Linked DNA regions of Drosophila melanogaster. The gene in region 1 interacts genetically with each later gene. Each region holds a gene or a part of one and is shown in the gene's direction. Other genes may lie near its edges.

What was found.
Region 2: of rump (region 1) and lost, changing one enhances a phenotype caused by changing the other (phenotypic enhancement), as found in Drosophila melanogaster (one study listed by BioGRID).
Region 3: of rump (region 1) and nanos, changing one enhances a phenotype caused by changing the other (phenotypic enhancement), as found in Drosophila melanogaster (2 studies listed by BioGRID).

What each region holds. Positions count from the first base shown.
Region 1 is NT_033777.3:9,504,764-9,512,761, reverse strand, and holds rump (rumpelstiltskin), read left to right. Parts: upstream 1-2,437; 5' UTR 2,438-2,599; intron 2,600-2,745; 5' UTR 2,746-2,751; coding exon 2,752-3,326; intron 3,327-4,332; coding exon 4,333-4,471; intron 4,472-5,375; coding exon 5,376-6,504; intron 6,505-6,562; coding exon 6,563-6,618; 3' UTR 6,619-6,909; downstream 6,910-7,998. Other genes in the region: Ras85D (Ras oncogene at 85D), read left to right, coding at 471-609, 766-1,022, 1,081-1,254; CG8149 (uncharacterized protein), read right to left, coding at 7,057-7,953.
Region 2 is NT_033777.3:4,400,695-4,408,446, forward strand, and holds lost (lost), read left to right. Parts: upstream 1-2,381; 5' UTR 2,382-2,507; coding exon 2,508-2,586; intron 2,587-3,774; coding exon 3,775-3,945; intron 3,946-4,006; coding exon 4,007-4,725; intron 4,726-4,785; coding exon 4,786-4,854; intron 4,855-4,906; coding exon 4,907-5,117; intron 5,118-5,172; coding exon 5,173-5,561; 3' UTR 5,562-6,488; downstream 6,489-7,752. Other genes in the region: CG14647 (uncharacterized protein), read left to right, coding at 1-444, 660-791, 907-1,221; CG32944 (uncharacterized protein), read right to left, coding at 6,743-7,309, 7,365-7,546.
Region 3 is NT_033777.3:19,154,826-19,161,466, forward strand, and holds nanos (nanos), read left to right. Parts: upstream 1-2,412; 5' UTR 2,413-2,675; coding exon 2,676-3,147; intron 3,148-3,690; coding exon 3,691-4,160; intron 4,161-4,233; coding exon 4,234-4,497; 3' UTR 4,498-4,784; coding exon of another isoform or gene 4,785-4,880; 3' UTR 4,881-5,377; downstream 5,378-6,641. Other genes in the region: CG11779 (uncharacterized protein), read right to left, coding at 308-972, 1,040-1,577, 1,641-1,721, 4,785-4,880; Nsun5 (Nop2/Sun-like domain containing protein 5), read right to left, coding at 5,408-5,838, 5,902-6,399; CG42359 (uncharacterized protein), read right to left, coding at 6,527-6,641. UniProt on the Drosophila melanogaster protein: Maternal RNA-binding protein that is required for germ cells proliferation and self-renewal. Acts by forming a complex with pum and brat that regulates translation and mRNA stability.

The sequences.
Region 1 (7,998 bases):
AAATAATAAAGAAAAGGGCTAAAAACAACGCCGCCGAATTAGCAAATTCACCTAGTTAACAACTCGGCTATGGGGGAGACTAACTAATTTGCATTGAGCGAATGGGTTTTAATTTTAGTTTGAGTCATTGATCTCTTTTTCCCATTTTTTTTTGTGTTGCCCGTCTGGCTGTGTGCATGCAGTGGTGCGTGTGTGTTTGTGCGAGTAAGCGCCTAGTCACAGTGACTCAGTGACGTGCATTAATTCCTGCCTAATTATGCGTTTAATTTATTTTAATCAATCTTAATTAATAATTTACTCCACTTGCAGCCCATACACGCACAGTCACCCACACAAACACACGCAACAAGCGTACGGAGAGAGAGACTGCATCTGCGGGCGCTTCACAAGAGAGTAAGCATCGATCGCGAGAAAGAGACTGTTACTGTGACATTTGACTACGGCAAATCGAAAACGGACGCCACAGCCAAATGACGGAATACAAACTGGTCGTCGTTGGAGCCGGAGGCGTGGGCAAGTCCGCGCTCACCATCCAGCTAATCCAGAACCATTTCGTGGACGAGTACGACCCCACAATCGAGGACTCTTACCGAAAGCAAGTGGTTATCGGTGAGTTATATGTACTTAGATCTGGCAAAGCTAGGGCTGCACAGGTCCAAATACTCTAGAGATTTCTGCACCCTTTCGCTGGTTTGGTTTCCCGTTTATACTAGAAGAGACCTTAAGAAGTTGCGATATTCAAATGCATTTTATATTCCCCTGCAGATGGAGAGACCTGCCTGCTGGACATCCTGGACACCGCCGGCCAAGAGGAGTACTCGGCCATGCGGGATCAGTATATGCGGACTGGCGAGGGATTCCTGCTGGTCTTTGCCGTCAACAGTGCGAAGTCCTTCGAGGATATCGGCACCTACCGTGAGCAGATCAAGCGCGTAAAGGATGCCGAAGAGGTGCCCATGGTGCTGGTGGGCAACAAATGTGATCTGGCCTCGTGGAACGTTAACAACGAGCAGGCAAGAGAGGTGAGTACCGGCCTTCAGAGTTCCGAGCGAACATTCCGTTAATTATGGTTGTTCTCAGGTGGCCAAACAGTACGGCATTCCATACATTGAGACATCCGCCAAGACGCGCATGGGCGTGGACGATGCATTTTACACACTGGTGCGCGAAATCCGCAAGGACAAGGACAACAAGGGGCGGAGGGGCCGCAAAATGAACAAGCCGAATCGTAGATTTAAATGTAAAATGCTCTAAACGGCCACGCATTGGTTATTATTCACTTTTTATTTCTTCAAATGTCGCCTGTTTGTCTGTATGTGCGTCGGCGAATCGCCGATCGTCCTGGGCTCGATGGTTTGTCCATTTTGGACACACAATGCGAAAAACACACACATGTGGGAGCGTGTTGGTCGGTGCAATTGTCAGATAAAAGAAGAGAAATTGTAATTAATTTAAGTAACTAGAGTTTTATGTACGTCGAAATGATTTTGTGAATGTGTGTGTTTTGTGTCGTTTGAAAGGCTGCGAGGCGCCCTTTTAAGAGTATTAACAATAACAAGCAAACAAAAACGAACGAAGCAAATCGAAAATGAAAATGAATATGTACCTCTACATAAAAACTATGAATACTGTTGTAACTGCCTTGGTTCAGCTGCTATATCCGTTTGTTTTCAACCAGCACTTAACTTGATTCTATGTTGTTTGTACTTCAACAGATACTCCGTGCTTAAAACCGAAACGCGATGTAAACAAATATTGTGTATTTTTACAGCCCTGTTATCTATTGGTTTCAACCCGACAGTCATACATAAATGTAATCTTTTTTCGCACACACGCACGAGCAGAATTCCATTAGTATTCATCATTAGAGAACAAACAAGCAAAAGCCGATAAGCTCACAGCAACTTTCGCACAAACGAGTAAATTCGCTAGCCCCAAACTAGATTTATGTTCGGTTAAACACATATCTGTGGTGCTACGATGATGAAATTATAATCCGTATGAGTTCTTGAGATTTGCCTTTCTTTCTACTTACCATACTGACAGATCAATCGGAGAGAAAACAAACAGCCAATTAAATTTACATTATATAGTTTGCTTTAAGCTTTTTATACATACATACATACATTTAATATTTAATTTTTTGTATTAATTTTTGCCATACAAAAAGAAACGAAATAAATCGATTGTGTGTACTATTTATGAAAAGTGGTTTTAGTTATTCCATAGTTTTGCTTTTGTGGATTCTATTTTTCCATCTAAAGTCTCCTGTCTTGTTGAGCCAAATATTCTATTATTTGAATTTTTGCGTTGCGCGCGTAAATTGCAGTATGCCTACATTTCGATAATTCGAAGAGCATTTTCGAATATCGGCGATGTCTAGTCGATAGAAATCTGAGACACGTCCAAATATCAAACCATCGATGAATGTGCTGTCATCGTATCACTGTCAACTCTAACATAGACTTTTGTACGGTTTTCTATTGATCTCGGAAACTGTAGTTTGTCACAAGCGTTTGTTCATTGTATAAAATTTACTACGCCGAAAGCAGCAAAATAGAAATATTACCAGTATTAAGAGCACAGCCAACATCAAAAGGTAAGCCATAACGCTAGCATAGAAAAGAACATTTGGCGAAAAAGTCGATTGACGCGGTCGCCATTTTGTTTTCGCGGACGCCGCTCCGGGTGTGTACTACTACGAATATTGCAAGAACTACAAAACGCATTGCGAATCCCTTGCAGACAACAATGAGCATGGACGCTAGTAACTCGGTGGAGAGCCGCGAGAAGGAGCGCGACCGTCGTGGACGCGGAGCACGTGGCTCCCGTTTCACGGACGCTGATGGCAATGGAAACGGCGCTGGTAGTCAGGGAGGTGGCGTCGCTGCTCGCGACCGTAGCCGGGAACGTCGCAATTGCCGGGTCTACATTTCGAACATTCCATACGACTACCGTTGGCAGGATCTGAAGGATCTGTTCCGCCGCATCGTCGGCTCCATTGAGTACGTCCAGCTGTTCTTCGATGAGAGCGGCAAGGCTCGCGGCTGTGGCATCGTAGAGTTCAAGGATCCGGAGAACGTACAGAAGGCCTTGGAGAAAATGAACCGCTATGAGGTGAATGGCCGCGAACTGGTGGTCAAGGAGGATCACGGCGAGCAGCGCGATCAATACGGACGCATTGTGCGAGATGGTGGTGGTGGTGGAGGCGGCGGTGGCGGCGTACAAGGAGGCAATGGTGGCAACAATGGAGGAGGTGGCGGCGGTGGCCGTGACCACATGGATGACCGCGATCGGGGTTTCTCCCGGCGAGACGACGACAGACTGTGAGTATTCCCTTTACGCTTATATCCTATACGTATGTGCACTTTTTTCCGATATTCTGGAGCAGGAAAGCTGAGTTCATGGCACGCATATACTATTCAATTTTTAGAAACTTGCCAGCTGGCAGTGGTTCCATTTTAAATGTATCAACGATTGCGGCTCTGCATTGATTTTTCATATATATGTATGTAGGTCAGGAATATTGCATTCTAAAGTTCCTATTATCACGTACGAACTGAATTTTTTATTTTAAGGAGTTTCCTTTGTCGTTTGTGCATCATTTAGGTGACAACCCGATTTACATTCAGCCCAGGGTGCGTACTGCGAGTTAATCGTGGTTCCTTAAGGGTTTCGTATTAAATTTAACCATATTTCTTTCGAAAATTTTACTGATCGCTGATATAATAAATATAAAATTTTATTCAGGGGAACATGCCGAAAATTATCATTAATATTAGCTACGAGTTCAGTCGTACTCTTCATATCAGTTAGTTGTAATGCAAATATATATATATATATATATAATATATGCAGTTTGTGTTCATCTGATTACAACGAAATCTCCGTTCTCTTAGTTCTCTAAATGGTTATCTAGTGATTTTTTTCATTATTAAAGTGCTCCGTTTCGATCTCAAGTCAATTATTTATGTTTAGTGTTGAGTTTGAAGGTTGATCACAGCAGGCGTTTGCTTTTTTGCTGCTGATAGAATTTTATTTGTTCAAATTGTCTAAACGCTCAAGGATTTATGGAAAGTCTGTCAAATACATCGGAGTAACAGTTTTGTGCTGTTTTTGAAAAAAAAAAAAAAAAAAAATCGGAATTCAAATTTAAAGATAGTTTAAGACAGGACCTGAAGAGAAAAAAAGGGTATAAAATGTTTAACATAAGGGAAAATGTGAACGCGTCGGAATATCCTGCGGCTCTCTTGGAAACCCACTTCTCCGTAGCTGAAGTTTACTTGTGCCTTTTGTTATCTTTCTCTGGAAATCTGGCTTCTCTTTTTCTAGATCTGGGCGTAATAATTTTAACATGATGTCAAATGATTATAATAATTCGTCGAATTACAATTTGTATGGGCTTTCTGCTTCGTTTTTGGAGAGTCTTGGCATAAGTGGACCTTTGCATAATAAGGTTTTTGTTGCTAATGTGAGTATATTGTAATATAAAATTCCAATAATCCTATGTATATTATTCAACTGGACCGGACCACACTACAAATATGCTGCGTTCTGTTCTTGCTTCGGGGTCTCTGCTTCGTATTTATAACCCGCCTAGGTCACATCATCCAGAAGATACTGTTTACTTGTTTAAATTCATCTCAGTCGACCCAAAGTAATGACAACTCCACGGTTTCCTTTCCCTTTTGACATATGTTCGTTCCTTTCCCGTTTTCGAAAATTCGGATGGAATCGTATACGTTGATGTGTTTGAAAGACTGGGTGGAACTACTTGGAAGTCCTGGGAAACACACTGAATACTCGATGTGACATACACATACCCTCTTCTACATCGCTACACAATGAATATATTTTAGTTGATAACATAACTGCAGAATGGACCCTAAGTATTATATTTTCTACTCAGAAAGCGGACTTAAGCGGCAACAACAAATTGGGCTACGTAAAATCTTGTTTTCGATATATCACATATTTTGTTTCGGTTAAGTTGTTTAATGATAATTGGTTAGTTTGTAGTTGCAATGACTCTTGGAAGGTCCTTGACTGTTTGTTGGTTGCAGCGTTTTTGCCTCTTTTACACTTTTCACATAAGATGTTCCGCGAAAACCACCTCGTTTTCAAGGGTTATAAATATGAAGCAGTTACGGGTGTTTTAAAATTCGACGTCGTCTCTGGGCTATTCCGTTTGGTTTCTGGGCACGTGTGCGGGACTGATTCTCCTGAGATTCTCGTCTATCGTCAGCATAGTTTTGCAGCATGGTTTTGTCAAAGACAGCAGTGGTATCAACATTGGGCAACTTTCGAACCTATTTCAGTGGACAAACCATGGGATTGACAAACTGCTAATTTCGCTTTCTTAAAACTCCCTGCAGCTGGACTACAAGGTCGACAACAAGAAGCTCAAGCAGGTCTTCAAGCTGGCCGGCAAGGTGCAGAGCGTAGACCTTTCACTGGACAAGGAGGGCAACAGCCGCGGTTTTGCTGTGATCGAGTACGACCATCCGGTGGAGGCTGTTCAGGCCATTTCCATGCTGGATCGTCAGATGCTATTCGACCGTCGTATGACCGTGCGCCTGGACCGAATTCCGGATAAGAATGAAGGCATAAAGCTGCCCGAGGGCTTGGGAGGTGTGGGCATCGGCCTGGGACCCAACGGCGAGCCACTCAGGGACGTGGCTCACAACCTTCCCAATGGTGGTCAGAGCCAGGGCCAGTTGCTTGGCAACGCTCAGCAGGGATCTCAGCTGGGATCGGTGGGTAGCCAACCAAACAGCAGCGCTGTTAGCAACGCCACGACAAACCTGCTTAACAACCTGACCGGCGTTATGTTTGGCAATCATGCGGCAGTGCAGCCATCGCCTGTAGCTCCGGTGCAAAAGCCTAGCCTAGGAAACAATACCGGTTCCGGCGGATTGAACCTAAACAATCTGAATCCCAGCATTTTGGCTGCCGTGGTCGGCAATCTTGGTAACCAGGGAGGGAATTTAAGCAATCCCTTGCTGTCCTCTTCGCTGAGCAACCTGGGTCTCAATCTGGGCAACTCCGGCAATGATGACAACCTGCCGCCAAGCAATGTGGGTCTTTCAAACAACTACAGCAGCGGCGGCACCGGTGGTGGCAATAGCTATAGCTCTGGAAACAACTACAGCGGCGGTGGCGGCTCCAGCAATTTGGGATACAATGCTTACAGCAGCTCTGGTGGAATGGGCGGCGGCAACGGAGGAGTTGGTGTTGATGGCAACGATTACAACACTGGCAATCCATTGGATGTCTATGGCGGCGGCAGCAACGTGGGCAATTCCAACGTTGGCTCGGCCAATGCTGTCGGTGCTTCTCGAAAGTCGGACACGATCATTATCAAGAACGTTCCAATAACCTGCACTTGGCAAACACTGCGCGACAAGTTCCGAGAGATCGGGGACGTTAAGTTTGCGGAAATCCGTGGCAATGATGTGGGCGTTGTGCGTTTCTTTAAGGAGCGCGATGCCGAGCTAGCCATTGGTAAGTAATACTCAAAAGGCGATTCCTTTATTTTTGCTGAACTCCAATGTCTTTTCAGCGCTTATGGATGGCTCCCGTCTGGATGGGCGCAACATTAAAGTAACATACTTTTAAGTCAGGCAATTCAGTTCAAAAGTTATTCTACGTTTCTTGTCGCCAATTCACACTTCAAACAGCGCGATGACCAATGAAATGAGCTGATATTCCTTATTTGACTCGCAATACGGAATTAATTTTGCACCCACTTATTTGAATAACTTTTATATATTTTAACGCATAATATTATACCAACTAATATGAATTTTGACGTTCCAAAAAAAAAAAAATGCCCCAATAAAACCGAAGACGCGACTCAAATTATTTTTAAGTCTTTGAATTAAACGAAATAAAGTAATGTAAACCCTGAATTTCAGTGGTCATGTTTTGTGTTTATTGAATTTTTGCTTAATTACTACAAGCATTGGTGGCTTTGGGGTTTGATACATGATAGGGCCTACTCCCGAAATGATTTACAATTGTATTTGCTTGCTTAAATAATTATATTCGCTTTTCTTAATTTGTGGACGGGGCTGTTTTGAATCTTTCCAAGCGAGCGCGCGCCTTCTCTGACCAGGCGTCCTTGGATTCAGTTGTGGTAGGCGTGGTGGTAGCTGCTGAGACTGCTCCTGCTCCAAATCGCTCCTTCCGTTTCTGGAGACGATCATCGGCCTTTGAGGTCGGTGCTTTGTCAGGCACCACGAATCCGAAACGCTCGGCACGTTTTTTGAGTGCCTCCTTTTGCTGCTCCTCGGTTTCCTTGTTACCTTTGTTGGCCGTAATGGAGGCACTAGAGGATTTATTGATGGCCACTGCCACTGCGGTTGCAGTGTTGGCCACAGCGGGGGGTGTTATGCCAAACTTTTTGGCCCGCAGTTCCAATCGCTCTTGTGCAGTCAGCTGGTTAAGTTTCTTGTCGCCTGATGGCTTCTCTCCTTCCGTCTTTGGTCCGACCACAATCGGCTTATGCTTCTTGGTAGGAGTTTCGCCGGTGGAGTCACTAGCAGCTGCAGCGGGCGCCTCGTTCTCCTTCGATGGAGTTGTCCCCGTGCTGGCTACCGTGCCCGTCGACTGCTGGGAATTATTTCGCTTCAGAACTATTTTCTTGGTCGGCGCAGCTGCATCTGGGGCCGAAGACGTCTTCTCTTCCGCTAGAAGGTCCGGAATGGCCACAGTTGTGGGTGTGCTAACCGGACTTTTCAGTAGCTCATCGTCGTTCTCATCGCCCAGCAGCTTGTGCTCATCCTCGTCGGTGAAAGACACATCGTCGTCGTCAATGGCATCTGCTATGGCCGAATCCTCCAGAGAAAGGTCCCCCTCTAATAACGCGGTCTGCAATCGGTCCTGCAGTTCGGTTTTATTTCCATTCACGGCGAGCCCTCGAAGCTTCAGCTCGCGCTTCAAATCCGCCACCTGGAAAGGAACACATAATTGGGATCATCTCCTAATATTAATCTT
Region 2 (7,752 bases), 5.1 Mb from region 1:
GTGGGTGGACAAATCTACGCCACTACCATCGACACTCTGGTGGGCAGAGAACCGGATTCAATGCTTGCTAGGATGTTCCTGCAAAATGGCAGCATGAAGCCCAGCGAGCGTGACGAGCAGGGAGCATACCTGATTGATCGAAGTCCTCGATATTTCGAGCCGATCATCAACTACCTCCGCCACGGACAATTCGTATGCGATTCGAACATCAGTGTGTTGGGTGTTTTGGAGGAGGCGCGGTTCTTCGGAATCTTTTCGCTTGTCACCCATTTGGAGGAACGCCTGGGACAGCAGGAGACGCCGCTGGGGGACAGACCATTGACGCGCAACGACGTCATCAAGGCCATCATTCAGACCTCCGTGATAACGGAGCTGCGCTTTCAAGGCGTTAATCTGTCTGGGGCCGATCTACGAAAGCTAGATTTTCGCAACATTAACTTCAAGGTGTGCGCAAACGAATTTCATTTCAATGCATACATTGTGTAATACAACATTTTAAGTCTTTCCAACGCCGTAACACGACTGCATTTTAATATTATTGTAGTTTGCTACGCAGTAAAGGAGATATTTTCGTCCGGAAAAAAATGGAAAATTATTGGTGGAGATCTATCAAGTTGAAGACAATAATTATACTAAAGACTATCCCTTTTCCTTCACAGTATGCCAACATGTCTCACTGCAATTTGTCCCACACCAATCTTAACTACTGCTGTCTTGAACGGGCGGATCTTCAGTACGCAAACTTGGAATGTGCCCAACTAGTGTCAGTGCGGGGACTTTGCGCCAATATGGTAAGCACAGGTTTAACAGAAAACGCTATTAAATAATCACATCATTTGTGAAACTAGTTGTAACAGATTTACGCCATCCAATTAGCTAAGAAAACTAATCTGCCTAATCTTTCAGGAAGGTGCAAACTTGCGTGGGTGTAATTTTGAAGACCCAACAGGAGTTCGAACTAATCTAGAGGGTGTTAACCTCAAAGGAGCATGTTTGGAAAGCAGCAACATGGCCGGTGTTAACTTACGTGTGGCAAATTTGAAGAACGCCAATATGAAGAACTGTAATTTGCGAGCTGCGGTGTTAGCAGGTGCCGACTTGGAAAAATGCAATCTTTCTGGCAGCGACTTGCAGGAGGCAAATTTGCGTGGGGCAAATTTAAAGGACGCGGAGCTTACCCTAATGGTGACCCCATTGCACATGTCACAGGCCATACGATGATATCTTGGTTGGCACCTATCACTAATATTACTGTTATTGACTGTACATACTTAAAAGTTTAATAGTAGGTTATAAAATAAACAGTATTAGGATTGAATTTCTAAAGTCGTGTGTATTATTCTTATTCCTTACTCGTAGAGTAAAAAAGTATACTAGATTCGTACTAGAAAAGTATGTAACAGGCAGATAGCAGCGTTTCCGACTATATAAGGGATATATATTATATATAATCCGGATCAATAGCCGAGTCTATCCGTCTGTCCGTATAAACGTCGTGATCTCAGGAACTATAAAATCTAGAGGTTGGGATTAAGCATACAGATTTTAGAGACGCGGCTCACGTTTGTTGACCCATGCTGCCATGCCCATTCTAATGCCCACAAACCGCACAAAACTGTGACGCCCACACTTTTAAAAAATGTGTTGATATTGTTTCATAATTTAATTAGTCTTGAAATTTTCTATCGATTTGCCAAGAAACTTTTTACCACACCCATTCTAACGCCCTAAAAACGCATTCCCACTGGCTGAGTAACGGGTATCTGATAGTCGGGGAACTTGACTATAGCGTTCCCTCTTGTTTTTTTTAATGAAATTTCGCGTTCGCATTCACACTAGCTGAGTAACGGGTATCTGATAGTCGGGGATTTCGACTATAGCATTCCATCTTGTTTTTTTTGTTTATTACATAGTCTTAGTCGCATCACTAAAGATTCTTTTATATTTTTATATAAAACATTCCTTAGGGACCTTGCAGAAGAGTTACATTTAGAAAATCCTAAGCCGGGGCAGGAGCCTGTGTTAATTATAGTTTATCCTTCGATTCCTTTATCTACAAGAAACATAAATAAAGAAAATAATATAAAATTTATCTATTTTTAGTTTTTAATACCTTATTCGCAGTGATCACAGCTTACAATTTTACCGAACTATCTGGGTGGTACTCGATGTTTATTAAAATAATATATAACAATTGAAGCGAAAAAAGATGATGGACTTGCATGTAGATCTAATGTATATTGTCGGTGGCGTGTATAAGCTCAGATGTATAACTTTTATTATATTTTTAGCTAGAACCATCGCAAGCAACTCTATACGAAATGTATCGATGTATCGCATCGGCGATGTTTTTTTACGTCACCAGAGAAACGTCAATTTTCAAACGTGGTTTGTTGGAAGCCAGCGGAGAACGGTAGACGTTGCTTGTGAACTGTGAACTGTGTAGCCGTAGCCTGAGCCGGTAAAAAATTGTGAGCAGAACTAAAACACAATTGGCGAGCGATTCGATGGAGGACCAAAGCAACGCAGCCCCCGCTGTCGCCGCGGAGAACGGCGGAAACACCGCGCAGGAGGTGTCTTCGACAAGTAAGTGGCCTGCCCTACTACCCCGCCCGCTCGCCGACGAAAATTGCGTGTAATTCTCGCGAGTGCTGGTGATTCCATAAATGTTTTGCGCCGCGCCGCGCCTTGCTCGCTGGGCATCCAAAGTGAATACCCATGTTCCAGAGGGGCAGGTGCCCGATTCAGCCATTTTCTAGGTGCCAGTGTAGAAGCGGAAGATTGTCGAATTCCGCCATATTTATTTCTAGGAGACCCTAGCTGTAAATAAGAGTTGCCGAAACGCCGAAGTTGCTTGTTGTTGACACTAATTACGTCATCTTTGCGCGCATTCTTCCCACAATTACAAAAAGTGAAATGAATCATTTTCGGTGCTCTTGGCCGATTTCGATTTCGAGATTCTGTGCTCGCAGTGTCAATTCACCCGCTCGCTTGCGCCCCGCGCTGCCCGACACCACTACACGCTCGCGGCACTGCTCATACGAATACATATTAATTGAGAAATTCGCGAGTCGATGCGCTCATCGCCCAGAAATGTGTGCGTGCGAGTGTGTGCGTGTCGAAGCGTTGCCAACTTATTGGTCATGCGTTAATATCGGGATATGGGTTCTTAATTTGTATTTCTCATTGAACCCGCCAAGAAAGACGGCCGAAATAGTTTTAGCGGCCAATTCATACTTCAGTTTCAATTCAACAAGCGCACACACATGCATGTTGACGTGTGTTCTTTAACCAGCACAGGTGGCAACCCTGCCGTCCCGATTTTGCATGCAGATTTTTGTTTTCAATGATACGGGCCGGCGTTTGCTGGTGTATGTTTGGGTCACTTTCACATCTGATTACTGGGCGTGGAAACCGGTATATCAGCCGCGGTATCACTTTTAGTCCAGCGCCAACTAGCGTGATAACACGCGTTCATTACAGACGATAAGGGCAGCGGCTGTGTTGCTATTCAGCACATTTGATTCGCACTTTTACAGTCAACCTCCCCTAACAAAAACTAACATGTCCGAGAAGTTGGGGAATCGCTTGGGTCCGCACGTTATCATACCTACAGATCAGCTCTGGAATGGAATGTGGCTTGATTTAATGAAGGCTAGCTATCACTAACACAAATACAAATGAGCTCACCGCTGCAATAAACTAAAATATGTTTCTTTTAGTCATCTGTTTATGTTATTGGAGCATATTATTGTAACAAACATGTCGTTACAGCTCAGCCCATAGAGCCCACAAAGCGCTCGCTGCGCGTGCAGACCTGGAAAAAGATCCAAGAGGGCAAGGTTGGCATTGGATTCAACAACATATTTAACCGAATTCCTTCGTTCGTGGGTGCCGATAAGGCTGCTGCCTTGTTTGCCAATGAAGAGGAGTTCAAGAAAGCACGTAAGGGAGTACCACAGCCCCGTTTTCAGTGCACCAATTATCACTCTTTCCCGTATTGCAGAGCACATCAAGGTGAACATCGATCGCGTCTTGCATGAGTTTAAGGAACTGGCATTGCTGGCCGACAAGTCCGTATACTTGCCCAGCACCCGCGAATCTTCTGCACTGTGCCTAAAGGTAGATGTGCTGGCCGATGCCACCGAGGAGCAGAAAAAGGAGGCTCTGCGCGTTCAAGATATTCAAAAGTTTCGCTCGGAAATTGGATTGGACAGCGGTCTGAAGCTGGACATCGTGGTTATTGGCTCTGTTGTAGTGTCACGCGAGGGTTACCGCATTGGACGCGGAAATGGTTTCGCTGATCTGGACATCGGCCTCCTTATTGAACTGGGAGCCATTACACCGAAGACAATTATTGTCACAATCGTGCACGACATGCAGGTGGTGGACTCACTGCCCCCGAATCTATTCCAGAAGTACGATACGCCAGTTGATATCATTGCAACACCCACAGAAATAATCAGGGTGCCAAAGCGCTTGTCTTTCCCCAATGGCGTTTACTGGGAGCTGCTGTCCGAGCGCCGTCTAAAAATATTGCCCGTGCTGCAGCAGCTTAAGGAAAGGGAGGAGAAGGCGGGAAAATCCATATCCCTCAAGGAGGAAGACACCGATGTGGAGCAACATCAAAACAACAGACGCCGCCGTGGGCCTGTGCGCCGGCGCATCCAACGAGGAAACCCAGGTCGCACCACTTCGCAGACTGACAACGAACAGCCGCAGGGCGTAAGTCGAATCCACCACACTGTCGGCACTATTGAGTAACTTTTAACTCTGCATTTTTAGGAGACTGCTCAGAAACGCACTCCGCGGCGCAAAGGTCGTTTCGTCAATCGCCGCAGACGTACAACTAAGGTAAGTAGCTTAAATATGACAGCCGAAGCCAGCCTAATCAACGTAATTTTAGTCTGAGGGCGATCAGTCTGGTGTGGAAGCAGGTGCTAAAACTGATGATCGTAAGTTACCAGAGGCTGGCACTGATGAGCGTCGTTCAAAGAAGAACAAGAACAGTGATTTTTGCATTAAGTTGACAAATCTGTCTCGTGATATTCGCGTCAAGGACTTAAAGTCGGAGCTCCGCAAACGCGAATGCACTCCGATGTCAATTTCTTGGAAGGGTATGTCACTTATATTTGGTTTAAAAGCTCTACGCTAACTATACCTTCTCTTTAGGACACTTCGGAAAGTGTTTCCTGCACTTTGGAAACCGCAAGGGGGTTCCCAGTACCCAGGACGACATGGACAAGGTGTTGAAGTCTCTCAACGATCTCTCGCTCACCATTACCACTGGTGGCGAGACAGCCCCAGCTGCCGCCGCAGGGGAGGGCGGTGAGAAAGCAGAGTCAGCTGAGACTGCAACGCCTGTGCAGACCAAGACTATTCTCGTCAACGTAGAACTGATCCAATTTGGCGAGAAGAAAAGTGCTAGCTCCACTGGTGCCAATGCCGGTGCAGGCGAGGATGGAAAAGCAGACGCGCAAAACGGAGGGGAGGCCGTAACTGTGGCAGGAGGCGACGTGGGTGGTGCACGCATCGAAGCTGTCGACACCACCACAGTATAGTATGACTTTGCGCTTGGCGCAGCCAATGAACGGTCGCGGCGGACTTCCGCCGACAGCGCAATGTTTGGAGTTCAACGAAAAAAAGTAACATTTTGTTTAGAAAAAATCGGGAAATACCAAACAAAAAACAAATAGAAAGCGAACTCCGAACAAACACAAAGTACACTCAAAATACACACTCACTAAATACACGCTGGCAATTACACTTGTGCATACACTGAATATCATGTTTTGCAGCTTGTAGTTTCTTCTTCTCCGTCATTATTCTAACCAACAAGAAAATCAAACGCAACTCTTTCTAACGAGAACACAAATCATTGACGCTTTTTCTAAACAATTGCATTTGTTTTTTGCCTAAGAAAATTAAAACGATTGCAGAAATACTCGTTCCACAAATGCAAAGTGGAACACCATTTCTTCTAAATAATCCTTTTACTAACTTCTTGTGACTTGTTACAATTCTGAATTAGAACTTCTGAATATTTGTTAATTTGATTTCACACCTCAGCAATAAGATCGTTTTGCTGTATCTCTGTTAAGCAGTTGAGCTGCTAGTAATAGGGCTTGAAGTTGAGTGCGTTGAAGTTGAAGTAATGTTCTAAAATGTAATACTAATAGGAATGCCCTATAAATGAGAAATACCGCGAGTAAGAAAAAATGAATTAACAAAATATTTACATGTTGCATTTGGTTAGTCTTTTCCAACTTTCACCGCAAACATCAATAAATTTAATAATATTTTTAACAGAAGAACAAGAAATGTGTGAAAGCAAGAATTATACAATGCAGAACATAATTATACAAGGCAGAACATAATTATTTACCCTTTTTTTATACACAAAAGGCATTACAAAAAAAAAATATGAAACATGAATGAAATATAACTTGAAATAAAAATTAAAAAAATCGTAAAAATAAACTTGACCGAAAATTACCCGTTTATTTTGCTTTTAGACTTAAATCTAATATGTACAAAGGTAGCTTAGACCTATTTTATTTAAAAGTTATAAAATGTCATAGTTCTGTATATAATATGCGCATGTACACAAAATGAAGTTTACAGGAGTTCGAAAAATAGGTTCTGGTCTTTATGGATGGATGGCTGACAAGTCATCGTTGCGCAAGTGGGTCTGGTTCTTGTGCAGTTTGAAACCTGTTGCTTATCAACCGCGTCCTAGGTTTTATTTTTGAAACGGACTCTGCGGCATGTCAAGTCTGCTGCCAGCCGATTCTTTAATCTGCGGTGAAGGAGTGCGATCAATGAACTCAATACTCTCGCCCTTTAACTGGGCGACTGCGGATGATGCGGTCGCACAGTCGCCGTCGTGCACAACGCAGGCGGCGGGTTTCTCTTGGATGGGGGCCAAGCTGTTCACGATGGAGTTGGCCATGGCCAGTTCCAGTTCGCGCTGCCAGTCGTTTTCCTTTTGTTCCATGGCTTTGCGCTTCAACTCCTTGTAGCGGTTGTAAACGATGAACTCTTTGACCAGTGCAGTCTCTGGATCGCTGTCGCGTTGTGCTGACCTCTGCTTGGCCAGGCGCTTCTTCTTTTTATGCAAGGGCCGCGATTCTACAATCATTTCCTCCAGTTCTAGGCAAGGATCACAGTTGAGGTGGTCTTCGGGAGGTTTATAGATGGGTTTGATCTTCTTCTCGAGCACCCTCTGGAAGTCAATGTTGCGCAACATGGGCGTTTGATGCAGCTCCTGCCTTGTACTGATCCTAGCACCCGGATAGGTGGAAAGTAACTACAATAGTCATAAAGTGTGTGTTAGTGTGTTAAAACAGTGCGATCCAACCCACCCTCTGCAGCAGATCGACGAAGTTGCTGCTCCAGTAGCGCGGATAGTGCACGGGGGTGTTCAATATATTCTTGATCTCCGCTAGTGGGGTGTTCGAGTGCACAACGAAGGGTCGGATGTTTCCCCGCATTTCGTAGGCGACGACTCCAAGTGACCACCAGTCCACCGGATAGCTATAGCCAGCTGAAATTATATGGAGACAAAAGAGTACTCTATAAGCGATGATAGCCTTGGAATTTGGCCAGGCGATGGTCACTGATGTTGTCTTATTGATGGTAATGAGCAAGAAGTACGATAAAAAGACCAACTCGAAAAGTATTTCTGATCAAAATATATAGAATCAAAATAATAGCATCTTCTCCAATCATCCATCCCAGTCAGCCCATCCG
Region 3 (6,641 bases), 9.7 Mb from region 1:
GGGGCGTCATTTGGGATATGAGCCGCGCCGGAGCCGGCAGTCTGCTGTGCCCGGAATTCGTGGGGGAATCGTTCACGGGACCGACCAGCAGCCCCTGCCGGGCGGACGCAGTTGACTAGTGGCGGACAAAACTTTCAAAGCAATCGAAAGCGAAACCTTTGTACACACTTAATAGATTCCTGCGGGTCGAGTTCGTGGTCAGTTCGTCGTCAATGCTCAGTGTCCAGTAATCTTTTCGTTTGTTTTTTGGATGAGAAAATGAGGGAAACTTAAACGGCTCGGTAAAAAAGAAAGGCGTGGCAGCGCGCTAAACAAATTGCTCTGAGCTGTTGGCGGACAGCTCCATCAGCCGCCAGGCAGCCTTGGGGTTGAGTTCGTTGCGGTCGCGGCACAGCACCCAGACGTAGTGAACCCGCATCACCTTCTCCGGATCTCCCTCGACGACCTGACTCTTCTGGTCCCGCACGCACATAATCTGCTGGGCTTGGAACGTGATAATCAGTACCGGGCCCTGCTCCATAACCTTGCCCATTGCCAGTTCAATGTTCTCGATGTCGAGGATCTTGGAGTCCAGGTACACGCCGGCCTTCTTAGCCTCCTTAATGGGATTTGCGATAATATTGAAAGTGCTCTCAAAGCACCAATCCTTCAGAATCTCCAGATCCCCACGGACAATCGATTCCAGAATATTTGGAATGATGTCCGTTTCGCAATCGCGGAGGAAATCCTTCTGATCAAAGCTCGGATCGATTTTCACCAGCTCCGTCATCGTTTCCGAAAGCTCTGTCTTTGAAAAGAGTCCACCCATGACGTCGGACACTTTATCGGTCAGCAGGCGGGAGGCACGAATAACAGGGTTCTCGGACTCGTCGTATTTAACCTTCCAGTCAAGCACCTTGTTCACGTAGGTATTGTTGTTCTTGAAGTTCTCCCACGACTCGTAGAACTTGGAGTCCTTGTGCAGCTCCATACCTGAAAAGTAACATTACATTATGGCCATGACCTTTGATCTTATTGAAGGAAAAAGATGGAGACTCACCAGTGGCTTCCGTGTTGGGCTCCACAACGCGATCACTATCGCTCATGACGAGCTGGACGCGCTTTCGCAACTTGGCAGGAGCACGATAGACACGATTCTCTATGCTCGCGCTGTCCATCTCCTTCTTGATGGTCGTCGTCGTGTTAGAGATAGCCTGGAATGCGCTGGTCTGGCCCAGCTTGCCACTGGTGTCGGAGATCGTGTCGCTGACCCCCCTAGCCTTCTTCGAGAGCTCCTCGGTAACCTTTTTGGCCAGGTGGGATTTGCTGGCGTCCTCCAGAACATCGCCTACGCGCTCCTTGATGGCGCCCAGCTGCTCCTTTAGCATGCTAGACGACTTTTGCGCCTCCGATTCGACAATGTTAAACTTTTGCCGCGCCGATTTCAGGGCATCCGATTCTTCCAGCTTCTGGGCCTCCTCACGGAACTTTCGGATATTGTCCTTGATCTCCTTGTTCTTATCCATCTCCGCCTTCATGTTGTCGAAGAACTGCGAGAAGAAGCCGGCCCTGCGACCTGGCGCACTATAAAAGCGGGGCTGCGGAGTAAAGTCATGACTTAGGCCGGTTGCGCCATGGGGTTTTATGAGCCAAACTCTAACCTGCTGCTGCTGCAGGTTCTGCGAGGCCTGCTGGCACGTGAAGAGACAGGCGCGATCCCGCACAAGGGCAGCTATTCTGTACTGCAAGGAGAAAAAATCATTGAAAGCTTCGACCGTTTTAACCTCGAAATATGCACATGTAAGGACGGATGTGAGCGAACGCCAGTGATGACCGGGATCAGAGGTAACCTACCATGGTGGGGATTAGGTGACCGTTCGCAGGTAGTTTGATCGGAGCGAATGTTCGGGGGGTCTGGCGTCAGAGGCTCTAAACTTTATGTAATTCCTGCCGCGAAACACGCACGTATCAAGCAGTCAGCTGTTCTCTTCGTTCAGCGCGCGCCGGTGTTGCAAAACGAGCGCTCTTCGCCGGCGGTGGCTCGTGCGATAGTTCGTTTTGTCGGTAATCCGATGTTGCCGCGCCGATATCATGTGATGTTGTCACAGTGCGCGAAATTCGAATGGTGGTGTGCAGTGATTGTGTTGTGACGGCGAGTGGCGCGTGTGGGTGCTTAGTTTTGGGAGATGTTTTCGTATTTTTTTGTTGATAACTCAGGCTTTGTTGCTGTGTTGTAGTACTATTTTCCATTGCGCGGTGTCCAGCTTTTAATTAGTGGCACATATTCTTAGCAAGTAAAAATTATTTTGCATACTATTAAATTTCTTATAAATTATTTTCTAAAATTAAGTTTACCTTTTCAATTTTACTAAAAATATCGATATATTTATTATCGCTGGAAAACTACATTATTCCACCTCTAAGCAAGAACCGTTAGTTGGCGCGTAGCTTTACCACAAAATTCCTGGAATTGCCGTACGCTTCGCAGTTGTTTCAAGTTGTCTAAGGGACATACGATTTTTTTTGCCTCTGCGTCACGATTTTAACCCAAAAGCGAGTTTAGTTACATGTACATTATTATTAGATAAAGAAGTATCGCGAATACTTCAGTTGAATAAACTGTGCTTGGTTTTTGGGTGAGGATTTGTGGAAAGTAGAGTGCGCGATAACCGTAACTTTCGACCCGGATTTTCGCCATGTTCCGCAGCAACTTGGAGGGCAGTGGCGCAGCAGCAGTAGGTGTTGCAAATCCCCCCTCGTTGGCTCAGTCTGGAAAGATTTTCCAATTGCAGGATAACTTTTCTGCTTTTCACGCCAGAGGAGGGCTCAACATTCTGGGCCTGCAGGACATGTATTTGGATACCAGTGGGGCCAACTCGTCGGCCACTTTGAGTCCGCCCATTACGCCGGTGACCCCTGACCCGTCGACGTCTGCGCAGTCGACGCACTTCCCTTTTCTGGCCGACAGCGCAGCCACCGCCAATTCGCTCCTTATGCAGCGACAGTACCACTACCACTTGCTGCTCCAGCAGCAGCAGCAACTGGCCATGGCGCAGCACCAATTGGCGCTGGCTGCATCAGCGGCAGCGGCTAGTGCGAGTCACCAGCAAACGGACGAGATTGCGCGATCCTTGAAAATCTTTGCGCAGGTGACGACGGGCGCAGCAGGTAAGAAGAAATGGCGAATATGGCGTCGTTTAAAACAGAATAGCCAAAAACAGTGCGCGGGAGCGAGATGACTATCTGTACAAGTACAGTTATGCCAAAGTCAATGGCCATGGGCTTAGTTAAAGGGGCAACGAAAGCACAGAGCAAAACAGAAGTAAAATTGTGTAAATGTATAATTGCTGCAGAGGTCAGAGGATTTTCGCCATTTAGTGTAGTATATTTTTTATTTTACTATTTTGTATGTGCTTTAAAATATATCTTTGCCCAACACTTGTATCCCCTTCAAGAGGTTTTTCGAGCGCCCCTGAATTTTCGGCCATTGACCTTAGCATTTTCGCTATTCCTTTTTGTTTTAACTTCGGAAAGCCATTTTGCGTCTTACATTTTCTAGAAGTTCTTTGCTTTTTCTCGTCTGTTCTTGTTTTTTTTTTGTATGCAAAAACTAATCCGTATTTGCTTATTACATTTCTGAAATGCAATTGAAACGCGAATAATAAAAAAAATACGTTCAGGACAAGGTAATGAAAAGCTTGCTATTCCCAGAAAATGCGGCTGGCTCGATGCAGGATGTGATGCAGGAGTTCGCGACCAATGGCTATGCCAGCGATGATCTCGGTCGCATGTCCTACGGGAGTGCTCCGCCACAGGTGCAAATGCCACCGCAGCAGCAGCATCAGCAACAGCAGGGGCTGCACCTGCCACTGGGCCGCAATCCTGCCCAGCTGCAGACCAATGGCGGCAACTTAATGCCCATTCCACTCGCCACCCACTGGCTGAACAACTACCGGGAGCATCTGAACAACGTGTGGCGAAACATGTCGTATATACCAGCCGCTCCCAATACAATGGGTTTGCAGGCCCAAACAGCGGCCACTGTGTCCACCAATCTCGGCGTGGGAATGGGTCTGGGATTGCCCGTGCAGGGCGAACAGCTGCGCGGAGCTTCCAATTCCAGTAACAATAATAACAACAACAACAAGGTGTACAAGCGTTACAACAGCAAGGCCAAAGAGGTGAGTGGATCTGATCCAGGATTCGCAGAATTAAAACTTGCAAAATATATTTGTTATCTTGTTTCTCCAACAGATCAGCCGCCACTGCGTCTTTTGTGAGAATAACAACGAACCAGAGGCGGTTATCAATAGCCACTCAGTGCGAGATAACTTTAACCGAGTGCTGTGCCCCAAACTACGCACCTACGTGTGCCCCATCTGCGGGGCATCTGGGGACTCGGCGCACACGATTAAGTACTGCCCCAAGAAGCCGATCATCACCATGGAGGATGCGATCAAGGCGGAATCGTTCCGCCTAGCCAAGAGCAGTTACTACAAGCAACAGATGAAGGTTTAGAGAGGGCGAATCCAGCTCTGGAGCAGAGGCTCTGGCAGCTTTTGCAGCGTTTATATAACATGAAATATATATACGCATTCCGATCAAAGCTGGGTTAACCAGATAGATAGATAGTAACGTTTAAATAGCGCCTGGCGCGTTCGATTTTAAAGAGATTTAGAGCGTTATCCCGTGCCTATAGATCTTATAGTATAGACAACGAACGATCACTCAAATCCAAGTCAATAATTCAAGAATTTATGTCTGTTTCTGTGAAAGGGAAACTAATTTTGTTAAAGAAGACTTACAATATCGTAATACTTGTTCAATCGTCGTGGCCGATAGAAATATCTTACAATCCGAAAGTTGATGAATGGAATTGGTCTGCAACTGGTCGCCTTCATTTCGTAAAATGTTCGCTTGCGGCCGAAAAATTTCGATATATCTACAATTGATCTACAATCTTTACTAAATTTTGAAAAAGGAACACTTTGAATTTCGAACTGTCAATCGTATCATTAGAATTTAATCTAAATTTAAATCTTGCTAAAGGAAATAGCAAGGAACACTTTCGTCGTCGGCTACGCATTCATTGTAAAATTTTAAATTTTGACATTCCGCACTTTTTGATAGATAAGCGAAGAGTATTTTTATTACATGTATCGCAAGTATTCATTTCAACACACATATCTATATATATATATATATATATATATATATATATATATATATATGTTATATATTTATTCAATTTTGTTTACCATTGATCAATTTTTCACACATGAAACAACCGCCAGCATTATATAATTTTTTTATTTTTTTAAAAAATGTGTACACATATTCTGAAAATGAAAAATTCAATGGCTCGAGTGCCAAATAAAGAAATGGTTACAATTTAAGGAAACAAATGTCCTTCTTGCGTTTGAAACAACTAATCCTTTTCGCCCTCGCGGCGTTTCTCGAAAAGGGCCAGGAAGATGCCATCGGTAAGATCACTGTCCGGCTGGCAATACAGGACGTTCTTGCCAATATTGGGATAGTCCTTGTCGCCCACATTGTGCCACTTGTTGCGCAAGGCCTTCTTGCAGCTGAGCAGCTTGAAGGATGGATTTAGCTGAAGACAACGCTGCACCACCTGCTCGTTTTCCTCCTTCCACAGCGAACACGTGCAGTAGGCAATGCGTTTGACGTTCGGAAAGGCGCCCATCGCGTGCGACAGGATCTTAATTTGCAAACCCTGCAGCTTTTGCAGCCGCTTGTCCTCCTTCGGCTCGTCGCACACGGTCATGCGGTTTTGCATTCCGCTGCCAGAGCAACTAGGGTCCACCAGGATGTACTCTACGTCCGGAAAGCGTTCGGGTGCTGAAATTCAAACGTGTTACTTTTTTAAATATTCATTGTGAAATATATAAATATAAAACTCACTTAGGTTCAAGGCGTCTCCCAAAATGGGTTTTACAATATCGCAACCAGCATCCTTTGTTATTTCGCACAGCGTATTGTAGCGTACGTGGTCCTGCTCCACGGAGTAGATGCATCCCTTGTTCTGCATCACATTGCATATGTGCACTGTCTTCATACCGGGAGCTGCGCACATATCCAGCACAGTGGCCCCAGACGGCGGAGCAAGTAGTTCGGCGGCCAAACAGGTGGCCTTGTTCTGCAGTATAAACCTCTTGCTGTGCACCAACGGATGGCGGACCCAGTAGTTGGACCACTTGGCAGGAAAAATGAGCACACCCTCAACGTGCAGATCGGTCATGAACTCGTTCTCCGCCAGCGATTTGATGGCAGTCAGAAAATCCGCATAGCTGGCGTCCGCAGGCAGCTCCTTGCGCCGCCAGTCGCTTTTATGCAGGTAGTCCAAGGCCTCCGCCAAGCTGTATAGATTTGTGTTGATGCGCACATATCGAGGATTGGGTTCTGTGTGGGCAAACAAAAAGACGAGTTCAAAATTGTAGCCAAAGTAAGATTTATTAAGAGTTGTTAAGAGTCGTTACTGGTCCTTTAAACGATCGAAATAATCTGGACTTGGCTGGCAGCACTTAAGTTACTGTTCTTTCTTTGGCTCCGCAGCTTCCGGCTCGTCGTCCTCATCCTGCTGCACGGGTTCCAAGGGTGGTGGGGGCTTCTCGCGGAAAGCCTTTAATACATACATGGCCACC